3 linked regions of the Bombyx mori genome follow. The protein of the gene in region 2 purifies or fractionates together with the protein of the main gene of each other region. This does not show direct contact. Links are inferred from orthologs where the notes say so. Each region holds a gene or a part of one and is shown on either strand. Other genes may lie near its edges.

Region 1 (5,901 bases), on a different chromosome or scaffold from region 2:
ATATGTTTGGTAACTAATTAATATAAAAAAAAATTATATTTATATTCACATCGTGGGTGTCTAATCCAATAAGAATCAAAGTCTATGGTTTTTTGTTACCTCATCACAACACGAACTATGACAGTGTAAAATAAAAGTAAATGATAAAAAAATTCAAAACAAATTAAAAATTAATTAAATTACTGCTCACAGCAAATCTCGCAAGAAAATATGGACACCAATTTCTATCAGCACCATATTGTTTCATATCATCCATAGTGTAGACTCCGTATGGTAACATAGACTCTTTGCCTTCACGATTGAAGCCCTCATAAAATTGACCTGCAATAATATTCATTTAGTTCTACAAGTCTAACCAAATATGAGTTTAAGAGGATCTGAATATTTATCCAAAGATCCCCAGGCATATAACCTTTACCAACGTGTTACATAATGCAGCTCCATTGTGAAGTTGTATTATCTCAAGATACATAGCTATTTAAGCCTGTGTCTATGGGGTCACAATGACAAAATACAGTAATAGTTTTTTTATCCACAGTAGCAGGTACAGCCCACAGGATACTGAGCAGTGACTGATGCTTATCGGCATGTGAAATAAATAAATAATCAAGTTGCTACATATAGCGGTTGTAAATATCTTATATCTATGCAAGTCTTTCATATACTAATAAAATACATAATAAGCAAATGTTCTCGATTAACTTCCAAGGTGAAAGAAATAACATTGTGTAATAAAAATAAAAACCGCAAAATTATAATTTGCGTAACTACTGGTGGTAGGACCTCTTGTGAGTCCGCGCGGGTAGGTACCACCACCCCGCCTATTTCTGCCGTGAAGCAGTAATGCATTTCGGTTTGAAGGGTGGGGCAGTCATTGTAACTATACTGAGACCTTAGAACTTTTATCTCAAGGTGGGTGGCGCATTTACGTTGTAGATGTCTATGGGCTCCAGTAACCACTTAACACCAGGTGGACTGTGAGCTCATCCACCCATCTAAGCAATAAATAAAAATAAAAAAACAGATTAATTTAGACATATTTTATATGAGTCGACTATTATCAAAGCCGGCAATCTGACTTTTGGACAATGATTGGTAAATCAGAAAAACGAATTATTGACTTTGTATTCCATTGGCAGTCACAAAACTCTTCTGAACGACATCTTAGATAAATAACAGGTTAAGTATTAACCTTTATTTAATGCAGGTTTTGAACCGTATTCTTTGAAGGAGACGATTATATTCAAATCAATCTGTATTGACATATCAATAGGAGCCTCTGGGTCTGCGGAGGGACTTCGGTTCCCTCTGTATTTTGTACCGTATGTTCCATGGGGAGTGCTCTGAGGAATTGTTCGAGATGATACCAGCATCTCGTTTTTACCATCGCACCGCCCGCCACCGGAGTAGAGTTCATCCATACAACCTGGAGCCACTGCGATCATCCACAGTGCGTTTCCAGAGATCTTTTTTGCCACGTACCATCCGGCTATGGAATGAGCTCCCCTCCATGGTGTTTCCCGAGCGCTATGACATGTCCTTCTTCAAACGAGGCTTGTGGAGAGTATTAAGCGGTAGGCAGCGGCTTGGCTCTGCCCCTGGCATTGCTGAAGTCCATGGGCGACGGTAACCACTCACCATCAGGTGGGCCGTATGCCCGTCTGCCTACAAAGGCAATAAAAAAAAAATAAAAAAAACATATCAATAAAATTTTTTTGTCCAAATGCACAGATTGCCACCTTTGATAATAGACAACTCATATCAAGGCGAGAACTTACAAATTGGCACAGAGCTATCACGTTCATGCCTGTCTCGTATATAGCTTGCTGTGAGGGCATGACATTTGCCATCTACAAGCTTCCCTTCTCTTTCTCTTGATACCTGTTATTAAAAAAAATTACAATAGATTAATTTTTCGATAATATCCTATTAATAAAATAAATTTAAGTATGCATTTTCTCTACGCATTATTTTCAAATGAAGTGATGAGAGGTAATCATATTATTATGTGGTCCACATTATTTATTTGGTGGAAATTTCCCATGATGCCAAAAGTCACCTATAAGTTTAATAATTAACTTAAGTTCTTTAATAAAATTTTGTAGTGCTTTTGTTTCTCTTTGAAATAAATAAATCAAGGGCTTATGAAATAAGAGCTTCGGGAATGAAGTATTTTTTAATTATTTTAATAAGTTTCATGAGGTCTCTTTTTGTTATATATTGTAAATCTTCATTAGTTAAAAATTTCAATTTTTTTTATTTATCTTGCTGTTTCAAACTGGAATCTATGCCCTAGTTCCTTAGGCTGATTACTATTTGAGGAGCACTCAAAAGGAGAAAACAATTTATGATCATTTATGTTTTTCTAGCAGAATGATAAAGCCACAAACATGGCACCTACTTTTTAGGTATTAAATTACGTACAAGTGTTTCATCCAGTATCCTGATACTGAAATTTAGCAATCACAAATCAATAGAGCATGGGTCAAGGGTGGAAGGTTCTAATATTTTTTGTCTATGCATTTGTTACTTAAATTTGTTTTAAAATAATTCCAAAACAAAAGTAGAGCAGAAACTGGGCGTTTTGGACATGACATGAGAGGAGCTAGAACAGACTGCCCAAGACTGATATAAATGGAAGAATTTTATTTGAGCCCTACATCACGGCCTAGGGAAATAGAAAAGAAAGAAGAAGATAATTCCAAAAATATAGTACTAATCATAGATAACAAATGCACAATATTTTTTGTTCAGACTTATAAATTGAAACTTACATCAGGATGAATACATAAGTTTTTCCTGGAACTAAGAACAACTCCTGTTAAGTTCGGTTTCTCTCCTTGAGATTTCTCATAATAATTGAATAAATTCTTTAGTTCTTCTAACACTTTTTCTATTTCTGGCACTGTACGAGAGCAGTAGATTAACTTTCTGAAAAAGTATATGTACATATTTTTTTATAATTAATTAATTTTAATCATTAATGTTCTTGTTCATTTTAATTACCTGACATGATGAGGGTTCTGTATCATATAAGCTACGATTAAAGACAGGAGCGATATGGTTTTTCCGGTTCCGGAAGGCATCTCTAACAATCCATGTCCCTACAAGTTCAAGCAAGATACACAACATAACCTTAAAATTTTAGGATTTTGTTTAAAGTAGATTCCTTTTTTAATACAGATTTTGAATACCTTAGCGTCCAATGCACGTTTTAACTCTAACATATAAGCATACTGTTCCGGATAAATGTAATCGTATGGGAAATAGACCAATAAACCATCGACAGTTAGCCTGAAAAAGTAATGAGATTATTAAATTAATGGTATTTGTTTTTTTTATATATTCATTTATTAGTGACATACTTCATGGTGAAAATATAAGCCCTTCACAACTATCTATTTTAAATAATTATAAACAAACAAGTCAAGCAATACATGAATTAATTAAATAACCACTTTGTTTTGATTCGAGTGACAGACATATATTAAGTGTATAATCTATGTGACAGACTACCACAGAACACTATTACTTGCAGACTACCTACATTAAAAACTAATAATTTTTAATGGCTTTTATAACCTGGTAACTAAGACTTTTAAGTCATGTCTTATTTTAATTTATATAATTATTTTTATGAAAAATGATAAAATGGAGTGAAATGAAATGAAATGATAAATGACCACCATTTTACTGCGATTATATTTCATCCCATATCATCTCATCTCATTTCATTTTATTTCATCCTAGTTGATTAATGTCTCAAAATTATCATCTTGATTTCATTTCACTCCATATTATCATTTTTCATAAAAATAAGAATACCTATAAATTAAAATAAGACATGACCTAAAGGTCTTAGTTACCAGGTCATAAAATCACTTAAAAAAAGTGTAAGAAAGAAAAACACAAATAGTGACAAAATGACAAAATTAACATAGCAAAACATTGTTATTTTGATAATTATGGGGAGCGATACAGTCTGTCGGATCTGTCTGGAATTTAATGTTAAAATGTACAGTTTAAAGTTTTATCCATTGGAGACCTATTATGAAGATATCGTAGAAGTTAACGTAAGTTACATTCATTCGGAAAAGCTATTGTGTTGGATTTGTAACGTTTGACCGGGTTCTAGTTTGTATAGGAATTGAATTTGGTTTTTGTAATATTTAATAGTGAATTAAACAGTTTGTCATAATAATGATATTCCGTGAAAAGTAAATGCAACTTCTAAGATAAAAACAACAATTCTAACCTCAAATCCCGTAGAGCACGAATAATTATAAACTAGTAGATAGGTCGGCCTTTTTTTTACTGTCCTACATTGTTCCAATTTTCAATAAAAAAACGTGTATCAAAACAAAAACATGTGTATTTAAAAAAAAAAAATTATAATACCTTATTTGGATTCGCTGCTTGCTGCTTAATTGCTTTGGGATTATAATTGTTTATTCATACTTTGTTAATTGACGATGTTTTTATTTATTTTGCAGCCCGAATGTTCTCCAGATCTACCACAGTGTGTATGTTATCTTTGTGCAGGATTATTGAAAAAGTATAGCAGATTTAAAAGTAAATGCTTAGTTGCACAATCCTTATTTTATAAAATACTAAAGTCTGGTAAAAAGGTAATATTAGATTTTGTTCAAACCTTTTGTTAGACATTTTTATAAGTATAGGATGCATATTCTTTGGATCGTAGAAGTTAGTGCTATGATTTGTTCTAGCTTTTTCTCTCTGCTGAACAAAAATATAATCAAATATAAGTTTAACTAACTGTAGATCTAAAATTGGGAAACTAGACAAAACTAAATTACATAAAATTATTCAATTATGAAATATTAAATATAAATTATTAAAAAATGTGTGTCAAATCATGCTGATTATTCTAACTGAATTGGTGTCATATTATGGAAACAATCCTAACACATGCTCACAAAAGATTTCCAAGGATTAATTACGTGATAAAATAATAAATAAATCCACACATACTAAAAACCTTCCTTCCTTTTGTGTTTTCTAGAGATCTTTTAACAGTAAACAAACTGCTTGTAATGAATTCATTAAACTTTTTTTTGTTATAGCTTAGATTGGTGGATGAGCTTAAGGCCCACCTGGTGTGGTTGCCGGAGCTTATAGACATCTACAACGTAAATGCGCCACCCGCCTTGAGATATGAGTTCTAAGGTCTCAGTATAGTTACAACGACTGCCCTACCCTTCAGACCGAAACACATTACTGCTTCACGGCAGATATAGTCAGGGTGATGGTACCTACCAGTGCCGACTCACAAGAGGTTCTACCTCTAACTAAGCAATAAAAAAAGCATCATCATGTTTCAAGATAGTTGATGGCTTTCATGCTGTTTGTTATGTCTATGGACTACCATTACCACCTAACACCAGGAGCTAGTTTATAATTAAAACAAATAAAAAGAGCAAGAATGTTTTGCAGGTCAATATTGAATCAGTAAAATCATTAGATAAACACTATTTGAAAAAATCATTGACTATTTATACTGAAACGGATGTCACACCAACAGACTTATTCCACAACGATTCTCCTACAGAATATTTGGACATTCCAGCTGATGATAATATTATTATAGAAAATGAAGACTCATTAGAAATAAATGAAACAAATTCAGAAGACTATTGCAATATTGAATACCTAAGCGATGAAGATTATAGTGACTTACAATCTCAGTTGGATTCTAAAGAACTATCGTTGGTACATTTACAAGAAGAAATTAATACCAATAGTAATCTGAGCGAAAATGACATCAAAATTGAGGCTGTATCGAGTAGAGAATTCCAATTTGTTGATGTGAGTGTTATTAAGTGTAAATTGCTGGTGGTAGGGTAGCATGATCTTTTGATCTCACATGTCAAGATCAACGGG
Region 2 (5,995 bases):
ATGTAAACGAAAAATATCACTGTGTTGTGTGAAATGAAATAAACTGATTAATGTCCTAAGTATATTGTGGTTTTCTTACGTAGGGCTCGGACTCGGTAGGCAGCGGCTTGGCTCTGCCCCTGGCATTGCTGAAGTCCATGGGCGACGGTAACTACTCACCATCATGTGGGCCGTGTGCTCGTCTGCCTACAAGGGCAACAAAAAAAAAAGTCGTATCTACTTCAGTGTGCTTAGTGCGAGTCTATTAAAGTTCTCGATAGCGTAAAAGTTGGCCCAATTTTGTATGCATTTGGAACAGCGCCCCACATAGCGGCAAACATAGGCAAACGATCCCATTCCATACAAATATGAGTTAACTTTTACGCTATCGAGAACGTTAAAAAACTCGCACTAAGCACACAGACATATTGCTTGGTTAGTAAGGAACGCCGAGATACACGACGACCTGGACCTCGTAACGATTCGAAAACATGAAGTCAGCGTCGGAACTGCACTTCGATGAAGCTATGCGTCATGTTAATCGCCCAATCGTGACCGCCGCTGACTGCTTCCCGAATGCTGATTATGCAGGAGCCAGTCACCGTCGACGCCCTAGACGCGTCCTTACGGATCCATCAGATCCAATAACCCTTGCATTAGACGCCTTTAGCTCTAACATTAGCAGCAGGTTTAGGGGCTCTGGTAACTGCGCAACCTAATCCATATCCATACACCAGCCCAGCTGAGTTTCTCGCTGTATATTTTGAGCGGGTCGCGATTCCGATCCGGTAGTAGATGCATTCGCGGAGCAGCTGCTCTTGAGTTGTTAGGTCTCCTTCGGAGGCGCTCGGGCAACTTTTTATTAATTTATTGCTTAGGTGGGTGTACGAGTTCACGGCCCACCTGGTGTTAAGTGGTTACCGGAGCGGTAAATGTCGCCACCTATCTTGAGATATAAGTTCTAAGGTCTCAAGTATAGTTACAACGGCTGCCCCACCCTTCAAACTGAAACGCATTACAGCTGCACGGCAGAAATAGGCAGGGTGGTGGTGCCTACCCGCGCGGACTCACAAGAGGTCCTAACACCAGTATTGTTCGTAATTGTTCACATAAAGTATAGGCCAAAATTATCCGAAATAACATACTATACTATAACCCTAGTCATTGGGCACGATCGAAATTTTATTCCTGAACGCGCAGGTGTCACCTGACGTCAGTCATTCTCGCGCCGATTTAGCATTTAAAATAAAAATAATATCTTCGTATACATAATATTAATATAATTAGTATCGTCTAGTCCAGGGGTTCTCAAACATATTTTGTCTACAGTACACTTTGAGAATAAATTATTTTTTAGCGCCCCCGTTTTTTCACCTACTTAACCACTATAGAAAGACCTCGGTCGTTGTCTAAGTCCTCCAAGACGAAATTACAAATCGCTTCCCAAGCCTCTACACAACGCCCCCATTTTTTTTCTGGGTCTCTTACCATCCTTTATGCCTACAGCGACAAGCGGGCGTTATCGCCCACTTTGAGAAAGGCTGATCTAGTTCCTAGCTTAGTTTTCTCAGTTTTCTTGTTAAAATCCGAATACCACAAAAATATAAGTGTTTATAAAATAAGAGTTTGACTTTTTGAGTGCAAATTTCCCGCGAATACGAGCAGTAAATAACAAACCACATACATAATTTATTTATTTATTAACTATACAAAATATTTTTACATAAATTCACTAAAAATATACATTTTTTTTTCTATGATTATTTAGGCTATCAACTTTTATTATCCAGTAGACAGATATCAGAGCACATTGAAAACATAGTGTATATTATCATTATTCATGGAACACAAGGTCTAAATATTAATGGTGGTAGGACAAAAAAAAAAAAAAAACACAATTGCAAGTCTAGATCACTATATTTTTCTGACGTCAAGCAGTAATGAATTTCACTTTCATGATTTCCCTGGGCTCTAGTGACAGATTAAATACCATTGCCGGCAAGTTTGACCCATATGAGCAATAAATAAATATAAAATAGAAAGCCTTTTATTTCCTGCTAAAATACAAAATAAATAGGTATTTAATGTTTATTTATCTCTTATTGCCTAGATGTGTGGACGAGCTCACAGCCCACCTGGTGTTAAGTGGTTACTGGAACATCTACAATGTAAATGCGCCACACACCTTCAGATATAAGTTCTAAGATCTCAGTATAGTTACAACGGCTGCCCCACCTTTCAAACCGAAACGCATTACTGCTTCACGGCAGAAATAGGCGGGGCGGTGGTACCCACCCGCGCGGACTCACAAGAGGTCCTACAGGAACCCATTAAGCATTCAAGTATTTATAAGCAATAATAAATAATATAAGCTGTCTCCTTCAAAACAGGTACCAGCAAGTGACCAATGAAGTCATAGGCATCATATTTTAAGATCGATAATTGAATGATACGTCTATAACCTCAAATGTATATGCAAGTGAATCAGATGCCGTACCAGCATTCTTTGGACCAAAGCCACTGATAATCTGGCTTACAAATAAATTTATCCCTATCAATTAAACAGCTATGCATTGATTGATGATTTGCAGTAGATTATTGTTCTCTAAAGCTGCAGCAACTCTTTCCTTGTCCGCTAACTGTTTGTTGACCGCATGTTCGGAAGCGTGAGAGCCCTCCGATACTTGTACGGTCACTTTGAAACGGCTTGGCAGAGCTCGGAGTAGTTGAACTCGTATTGAAAGACCTGAAATAAAAATCAAATCTCATTAATTAAGCTTGCAGTACTTTTTTCCGGAAGCTTCACAACTTTAATTAGAACTATAACAGAACAGATTATCTACAAAAGTGTTTAACTGCACTAGGGGAATGAACAAGCTCACAGCTCTCATAGTTTATAGCCATTACAGATGTCCGTGGACATCACATTGGGACAACTGCCACCCATCTTGAGTCCTGAACTCGAAGTTTGAGCAACTCGAAGTTTGAGCCCTATTTTAAAATTACTCTCTCTTAAGCAAAAACAATAATGGTTCAAATTGGGAATAGGCTAGACAGTAGTGACTATTCCGTGGACAAAATATCAGACTAACGCATCCATATTAAAACAGCTCAATATCCAAAGGCTTTCTATCGTCTGCTTCAGGAAGATATTTGAGTTCTTCGATCATATTGGCCGAAAGAGAGGTGACAATTTTGAAATATAACTGGCGAGATCTTTTCAACTGCCTAAGATGAGAGATGAGAGATAAGAGTTTACGGTAACCCATTATCAATCCATTGAAAATGGTCAGCGGTAGACTGCACTTTAGTTGCACCCCTGAAATTGCTACCTTCCATGAGGGACTGTAGCTACTCCCCACCAAGCGGGCTGTATGATCGTCTACCCACGCAATTAAAAAAAGGAAGCTGTTCGTTGGCTGGGCATGAATGTTTATTTGCTTGCCAATAAAAAAACATTAGTATGATAATATTAATTTAGAAATATTGGCTGTTCCACCATTATCGGTGTGCGTTGGTTATGTGTGTGTTACTCTCTCATTAACTATAGGTTTTAATGCTAAAAAAAGTACGTACCTATCAGAGTCGCCATACTGCAATGGGGAATTGTCGGTGTAAAATTGACTAATACAGTACTATCATCGTTATTAACGATTATATTCTTCTCTTCCACCACCCTGAGCTCCTCGAGTGTCAATGGGTGTTCAGGATCATTTATATTTCGTATTAAATCAAATATTTCGCGATCATCAAATTCATCTTGCAAGTCTTCGTCGCGTTCCGAAGAAGTGATCTCCCGTTCTGAACCCTTCTCGTAAATGTGAGGGTTGATGTTATCCGCTGTTTTGGTCATTTTATAAGTTCGAACTTTTTATTATATCAATTCGTTCTACTCAAAATATATTTTTTGGTACAATTTTTCCTTATTATGAAAGGCAAGGGGATCTAAGCCCATACAGCCTTTCTACTCAAAATAATAACTCACTTCTATCTCTATCTCTTTTTTTTAGGAATTTTATGACATGGTAACTAAGATCTTTAAGTCATATCTTATTTTAGTTTATATTCTTAATTTTATGAAAAATGACAGACGCTGCTAATGTAATTCATATCTACTTACACAGAATAATAATGGCCAACATAGACAGTTTCCTTCGTTTTTTATTATTTATAAACGGCAAAATAATTAATAATTGACACTGGCTAATGCACAAACCGAGCGAGCCACAATAAAAAAATTAACTGTCAAAAACCAAATTTCGATTTTGACAGTTGCACCCAATCAAAAAATCAATACTTTATCTAGAACTTTGAGGGGTTTTACTCGATCCTTTTTCAGGAGGATCAGTCTTAAATCTATTCTCTTAGGTCAAACAACAGTTAAAGTAAGTAATACATTATGTAATTCCCTAGAATTTAATTCCTAAATATTTGTTTTAGTTCGCAGACACACCCCCTGCCTGTTGGTACCAAAAGAGTAGTAGTACTTATTATTAATTTATTGAACAACGTTGATTTTAACAAAAAAATGTATTGAATATTAGTGCTTAAGGTATCTTTAAACTTTATCCGGGTCACGGAGTTATAAAACAACGAGCTAGCAATATTAAAAAATTAAGAACATTATCTTGAACTGCTCTACCAATTGTAGTATTCTAATACTTATTGTATGTTGAGTTACTTATTGTATGTGACACACGTCTGTACGTCGAGCAAATATTTTAAATAGAACTTAGGTACATCTTTAATAGATTTAGAGAAGTGATAAAATATAGGAAAAATTTAGAAGTCTACTTTTCACTTGATTAATCAAGGCTTTTTCGTACTTTATCATGACCTACCATATTGGAGACATTCTATTCATACAATTTGGCTAAAGACACCGCTCCTGATTGTCGGGAAAAAGTTAACAAAAACATGTTGCAATGTCTATTGTTTAAAATCAAACAAATTTTTTTAATAGTACAACATAAACCTTAAACCGTGATATGCATTTCTTTTTTTAAATTTGATAAACCAAGATATGCAGAAACATGCTCATAATAAGATATTATCTGATGGTTTATCTAGTTCAATATTATAACTTAATATAGATATATTCACCTGTTCTAATATTAACTTCCCAAAGGAAGCATTGTTTGATTTCCAAAGACAACATTAAATATACAATGCCAAATTAAAATATTCTCAAAATTACTGCATTAATGTCAATCAAAATGTTGAAAATTAAACAATGAAAAAGGATTAGGATTTTTCTATGATTATAAATTTAGGCTTCCTGTAATGAAGACTGCATACATACTAAGAGGTATATCTTTTTTTAGGTTCAAAGAAACGTCTTTAATTCAGAAATGATGGCGGACCCGTGGACTATACAAGCACATGAGCATGCGAAGTTCTCGGAGCACTTTAGAAACCTTGGACCTGTCAATGGAAATTTGACGGGCGAACAAGCTAAAAGATTCATGTTACAGGTCAGTTAATTTGCGTATTTATTATAAATCTAGAACTTTTTTTTTTTATTGTCCTTGTAGGCAGATGGGCATACGGCCCACCTGATGGTGAGTGGTTACCGTCGCCCATGGACTTCAGCAATGCCAGGGGCAGAGCCAAGCCGCTGCCCTACTGCTGCCTAAAGTTAACTCAAATTTGTATGGATATGGAACAGCGCCCCTAGCGACCAACGTAGGCAAACGTTCCAACTCCAAACAATTTTTTTTTTTCATATTTATTTCGTTTCATATAAATTTGAGTTAACTTTTACGCGATCGAGAACGTTAAAACACTCGCACTAAACACACGAGATGGAATAAAGAGTAAATTAGGCTACTTCTATTTTAGAGAAATTCTAAAATTATTTTTACACGCTGGGGTTCGGGATAAATAAAATTTCCACAAATACAACCACAGTACAAATTAAACACCTAAAATACTTCGTAATTCGCTTTTTCCGCTTCGCTTCAGGTGATCCGTTCGCTGTTTCGCTTCGAGTAGTTCCGATTTCTGGCAAGTCGAG
Region 3 (5,983 bases), about 6.1 Mb from region 2:
ATATATTGCAATAATTATTAAAGTGACAAATAGATTCCACTTTAAAGAAAAACAATATTTTAAAACGAACTACTTTAATTCGCATTAATAATTACTAAGTACCTACCACTTTTAATTTGCAAAATATGTAAGTATTAAATAATCAGTTTTAATTTTTTTTAAATAATGAAGGTCAAATTAAAAGCTTCTGATAAAATTTGTTTAATTTAACGAAATTCTCGACGCATCATGTAGTTTTTTATGTGAGTGTTAAAATCCAAAAAGTTATGTTACTTTAAAACTACGATCGAACTAAAATGAAGCTAACACCATATGACATAAAAACTAAATTTCATTGTCAAATAGTTATAAAGGGTAGTTTACTACGAACAATAGGTCGTACAGCTGTCATTTAATAGTGGCAAACGCAGGTAAGGCAACTAAAACCGTAGGGTAAGAAGCTCTTGTAATTTTAGTACAGACCATTTTTGTCAGTCGATGACAATTTAACAGTCGATGACAATTTAACAATTTGACGAAGCATGTTGCTGATAACTCTGTTTCTATAATCTGACGAAGCGTGTTGCGGATAATAATATTATGTTTAAAAAGTGTTATTTCATTATTGCGAAAAATAAAGATTCAAAATTTGGTAATTTAACAGTACATTAATTTGTAATTAATAGTAAAGTCGGATCGTATTAAATTATTTGTTATCGTTTTAAATTAAACAGTGGATAATAGGACCGAGAAAAGAGTTTGTAAACAAGCCATTTTCATTCGCAACAGAAAAATTGGTCAAGTGTGTATCACTATACGCACAGTAACGGGTTCCGTATTTGGAATGAATGCTAAACGTATATTTTTCCGGTAAACATATGTCACTGAACATTTTACGGCTCTTTTATGGAAAAAGAAGTGATTTGGAAACCATAATGAAGGCTTATCTAAAGATAGATTTGCTCCTACATACTGTTTTTGTTTTTCTGTCATGCCACTGTTACAATTGATTAGAGATTGTTAATCACAGACTTCAAGAGGAAGTTGTCGATTCGGATTTCGATTTACAACACCGCCTTATACAGGATCCGAGGCAACCGTTCTCGAGTCACGAATAGTAATATAATAGCTTGTTTTATACTAATGGTGGTGGCGGTAGGGCGTATTGTGAGCCCACACCATTAGGCTCCACTATACCACGTACTTGTATCACCAAATAATCGTGCTTCCTGGTTTGAAATATGGGGGAGCAATTCTTCTTCTCCATATCCTACAGTGGGATTATTTTTTTAATTCGGGCTATTATACGTCAACTCTGTATTCATACCCTTCTCTGGCATATCTTCTTTCACATAGTCCATCCAAGGACGCCCCCCTCCTCACTGAATAACACACCATTATATAATATAATTGAGATTTTTTCATCATCTTTCAAGGTGGGTGGTGGTGGCATTCACATTGAGATATCTGTGCACTCTAGTAACTGCTTATGCGGTGTCCGGGGCCTAAGTGTACTTATTTTTTTGGTACTCTTATATGTTTCTGGCACCCATAACACGAGAAAATCCTAGCATGAAGCTGTTCAAACAGGGAGCACCAGCTTGAATAATAATTTTTAGTCGTTACGGAACCTTAAATAATACGAATAAAATCATGAAAATTAAGTAGAAATCTTATAAACTTCGTTCCATATGAGTGCGCCTTTTTCTGAATTACAAAAATGTACTACATTAAATTTTAACAAGCGTGGAAGGAACGTCGAAAATGAATTCGAAATTCAAACGATAGTTTTCGCTGTTCCTCGTCGATGGCGCCAGTAGCGCTGGGTTGCCTGTTGTGGATGGACGTGTGGTGGTGTTAATTTCCTACGACGTGACTGATCAAACTTTGAACGTGATTTATTTTGTGAACTTTGTGAATGACTATATAATTTTTCGTTCTGTTTGTTTGTGATATCCAAATTCCTTGGTAAGTCCACATCTGATATTTATATTAGGTACTGTTGTGAAATAGCATATGTAAATTACTGGTTTGATTATTATGAAAAACAAAATTTTAATATTGAGTAATGTGCCTTGGAAAATATTTGTAAGTAGTTAATTAGTAAACAATTCGTAACCTGATTCATATGAGCCTATCATTATTTGTAAACTATATCTACATATATACATATTTACCCTCGGTGAATATAAAAAAATGTAAATCGGAATACAATGCACGAACGTAACGCAGTATATTAAAATAAATACATTATTAGGTATTTATTGAATTAAAATTATTTGATTTATTAAAATCTACCGGCATTACATTATTTAGTTTAATGCGTACGGATTATGTTAGCCCAGGGGTAAGCAACATTTTTAATCAACGGGCCAATTTAAATTGTTTTTTTTTTGCGGGCATAGATTAATGCTTATTAATAATTTACGAAACTTTATTTATAATAAATATTAGAATAAAAAAATATAAAACAAAAAAAGTAAAGATTTTATATACAAATTTAAAAATAAAAACGAACAAAAAAAGAACAGAAGAACGGATTGATGGGAGAAAGTCGATAAAATAAATTCAATTTTAGAAATGCTTGACGGGCCGGGTGTTTCTTATCGTTGTGTTTAGCCTATTTAATCACACACAATACATTACACTGTTCACCTTCAGAGATCAAAAGACGACTTCTTCTTCTCGCTTCGGTTTCCTCGATACTGAGGGTCGTGACCACCTCCTCGCAACAAGAGTTTATTTCGGATCATTCCACGCCATTTGCCTACTACCTCGTGGTCTTCTTCCGTCTACTTTCCATCCAAAGACGACTAACAAGTAGCAAAACTTTGAAATTGCTTAGTGCATCCAGAATTTAGTAGGAAAGGTATAAGTACATAAGTTAGTTAGACTCGGATACTCGCTTCGCATCGGACGGGCATGACCTAGCTTTCCTATAATATAAAAAAAATCTTGCCCCAAATTTTTTTACTGCTAACAATAATAATGACATTAAGAAACGTTCCACATCACACAATTAGTAAGTAATCATTTCCTTAATCATTAAGCCAATTCGGTAATGAATTGAAATACATCATAAATTGTAACTATTTATATTTACTTCCGGTGTTTTACCGATAAAAATCCGTTAAATATATTATTATTAATGGCAGGCAGCTTTTGAACAAAATATTGGAATTTAGATAAGGGCAATAATAGCAACATTATTGTAACATCCATACTTAATATTTTTATTTAATTTTAATAAGCTTAAAGTTTGCATTCCCGTTGTCAGCGCAGAACAAAACCAAATTTTAAAAAAAAGGCGAAAGATTTTATTCCTACATTAACGAAAGTGTAGCTGTGGTTAAACAAGTATATGAAATAAAAAAAAATATTTGAAAGTTTGTTTGGTTTAATTTTTACGCGTATTAAGGAGGAGCATATTCCAAGGGGCAAATATTTGGGCACGTAGAATAGTTATTACTGATGAGACGTTGTACACTAATATACTTGCTAATCAGTAATTATATTTTTAAAGCTTACCTTAGCACAAGTAGCGATAGCGCATGTGATTACTAATGCAAAAAGAAAATTACTGTATCTGACTCAGATGACAAACGAGGGTGAATTTGGTTAAAACCGGATTAAATAGCGATAATTTTTATTACAATTTTATTTCTCACGATAGAAGACAAAGTTAGACCCCATATAGGTGGTTGAAGAAATAAGCCGTGTCTGGCGATGTCAGTCGCTGCCACTATTTAGCTACAAAACAAGAAGAACCCATAAAAATAACAAGATTTAACATTAACATCCAATAGGCTATAAAAATACACTATGAATATTATATTTAAAAAAAGAGCGTTCATCATCGTCATCCTAATTCTGCCCCATTAAATAACTAAATAAACAGGTAGGTATATATGTATATTTTTAAATATGACCGAACAAGATAAAATTCCAATTAATAACTGAGTTTATCGCGTTCGTATTTCATTGGTTCTTCATATTTAGATTCTTACGTGAAACATCTCCGTAGCATTCACGCCGCAGTTGCTCAGTAAAGCGAAAACATATATTATTGTCACTGGTGAAGGTTGAGTGGGATCGTCAGTCTACCGTTTTTGACTAATAATAATACATAACAATAAACAGGTGTGTGATCCACGCGCCACGCACGCTTGTCGGCTTGGATATCCTCACACCGCGCGCGGGACCCGTGACGCGGCCATTATTATAAAAAACACACACATTTGAAGCCTATTTTGGCGCGTAATTTTTTTAATGCCATTCATGGAGTAAAATTTATTTGGTGACATGAAACTCGTAAATATAATGAAATAAAGTGTGGGGATGAGGGTTTTGTTATAAATAAAAACACAGCTTGAATCATTGATTTTATTGAGAGCAAAAATTGCTTTTTGTTTTTCAAAGAAAGTACACTCTTACATACGCATAGTCGTAAGAGGTGTTATTTTATTCGTGATCAAGCTAGAGTGCAAGGTTTTTTTTCTAGAAAAGTGAACTCGGTAATAACTAACGCTTGCGTAAAATTAAAAAAAAATCCTTTTGTCTCAACTAATTAGCATTAGTATTTACAATATATTATAATGTTTTTTTGCGCATTGTCTCGAAACATACTACAGGGTGTATATAAAGTTTGTACACGTATAGACCTGGTTCAATTTTTGGGGTGGCATTTCTCCTGCATGTGAATGCGCCCGTTGAAGGTCGAACTCTCGGGTTTTTTTTTAGGATTTTTTATTTATTGCTTAGGTGGGTAGACGAGCTCAAAGCCCACCTGGTGTGAAGTGGTTACCGGAGCCCATAGACATCTACAACGTTAATGCGCCACCCACCTTGAGATATAAGTTCTAAGGTCTCAAGTATAGTTACAATGGCTGCCCCACTCTTCAAACGGAAACGCATTACTGCTTCACGGCAGAAATAGGCAGGGTGGTAGTACCTACCCGCGCAGACTCACTAGAGGTCCGACCACCAGTTATTACGCAAATTATAATTTTGCGGTTTGATTTTTATTACACGATGTTATTCCTTCACCGTGAAAGTAAATCGTGGACATTTGTTGAGTACGTATTTCATTAGAAAAATTGGTACCCGCCTGGGATTCGAACACCGGTGCATCGCTCGACACGAATGCACCGGACGTCTTATTTTTTAGGCCACGACGATTTCAAATCTTGAATCTGGATGTATGTAATTGTTAATACGTATCTGTCGTTCCGGAGGCGAAAATGTTTTGAGTTTGAGATCGTTGGATTTGAAAAATTTTTTTAGCCCTATTTTGGCTCCTTATCTTAAGCTGGGCTGACATCTCGGGATGTATACGCTAAGATAACCTCAACCTAACTTTAGCTAATGACGCATTAAACACCCTACGAAGACCATTCATAGTCCATAAACTCATCTACAATCTAAAAGAAAACATAATAGATTACGTTGATTAAATGAAATTCTATACTGAAATGTAAACTTCGAGTATTTGAGTGTGCCGCTGCATCAGAAACCTTAAAATACAATGTGAACCGTTTATTGTTTACTATGAATCCCATTCTCACAGCTAACGAAACCCATCAATCACTCGTAACGCACAACCCAAAGTGTCTTAGTGCAGCATCTATAGTCGATACTTTGGTTGTGTTTTATTATTATAAGGGCTTGTAGGAAACCAGGTGGTAAATGTTTTTTAAACTAAAGAGAAGATCTGTTACCAAGCCGGTATCATTGCTTAGAAGTTTGACTGTCCAATTTTGGTGGTTTGTATTACAGGCGATTTTTTAAATGCTAGGTTTTCGTTTGCTCTTACTACTTTTTTCCTTACCTATTTGTTAATAGCCTAAGCTTCTATTCTAGATTCCGCGAACAGGTAGTTTGTTAACACCGGCCCTAGCAAGAGCAATGCTTCGCAGAATCTATTACCGGATCGGAATCGCGGCCCATTGAGAAGATCCGGCGGGAACCGTGGGAGCTCTCATACTAAAACAAATTATATTTTCAA

What was found.
Region 1: the proteins of MIP18 family protein galla-2 (region 2) and general transcription and DNA repair factor IIH helicase subunit XPD purify together in Homo sapiens (affinity purification with western blotting; 3 studies listed by BioGRID and IntAct, with this or other methods). This does not show direct contact. The link is inferred for Bombyx mori from reciprocal best matches to the Homo sapiens genes CIAO2B and ERCC2.
Region 3: the proteins of MIP18 family protein galla-2 (region 2) and threonylcarbamoyladenosine tRNA methylthiotransferase purify together in Homo sapiens (affinity purification with mass spectrometry; 3 studies listed by BioGRID and IntAct, with this or other methods). This does not show direct contact. The link is inferred for Bombyx mori from reciprocal best matches to the Homo sapiens genes CIAO2B and CDKAL1.

Annotation. Positions count from the first base shown.
Region 1 is NC_085127.1:13,501,636-13,507,536, reverse strand, and holds the start of general transcription and DNA repair factor IIH helicase subunit XPD, read right to left. Parts: upstream 3,545-5,901; 5' UTR 3,371-3,544; coding exon 3,366-3,370; intron 3,295-3,365; coding exon 3,195-3,294; intron 3,105-3,194; coding exon 3,007-3,104; intron 2,932-3,006; coding exon 2,775-2,931; intron 1,882-2,774; coding exon 1,779-1,881; intron 322-1,778; coding exon 191-321; intron 1-190. Other genes in the region: zinc finger protein ZFP2, read left to right, coding at 3,966-4,073, 4,494-4,628, 5,455-5,826. UniProt on the Homo sapiens protein: ATP-dependent 5'-3' DNA helicase. Component of the general transcription and DNA repair factor IIH (TFIIH) core complex, not absolutely essential for minimal transcription in vitro.
Region 2 is NC_085117.1:635,607-641,601, reverse strand, and holds MIP18 family protein galla-2, read right to left. Parts: upstream 3,958-5,995; 5' UTR 3,833-3,957; coding exon 3,556-3,832; intron 2,726-3,555; coding exon 2,538-2,725; 3' UTR 1,661-2,537; downstream 1-1,660. Other genes in the region: intersectin-1, read left to right, coding at 5,331-5,453.
Region 3 is NC_085117.1:6,782,281-6,788,263, forward strand, and holds the start of threonylcarbamoyladenosine tRNA methylthiotransferase, read right to left. Parts: upstream 3,545-5,983; 5' UTR 3,508-3,544; intron 1,948-3,507; exon of another isoform or gene 1,707-1,947; intron 188-1,706; exon of another isoform or gene 107-187; intron 1-106. UniProt on the Homo sapiens protein: Catalyzes the methylthiolation of N6-threonylcarbamoyladenosine (t(6)A), leading to the formation of 2-methylthio-N6-threonylcarbamoyladenosine (ms(2)t(6)A) at position 37 in tRNAs that read codons beginning with adenine.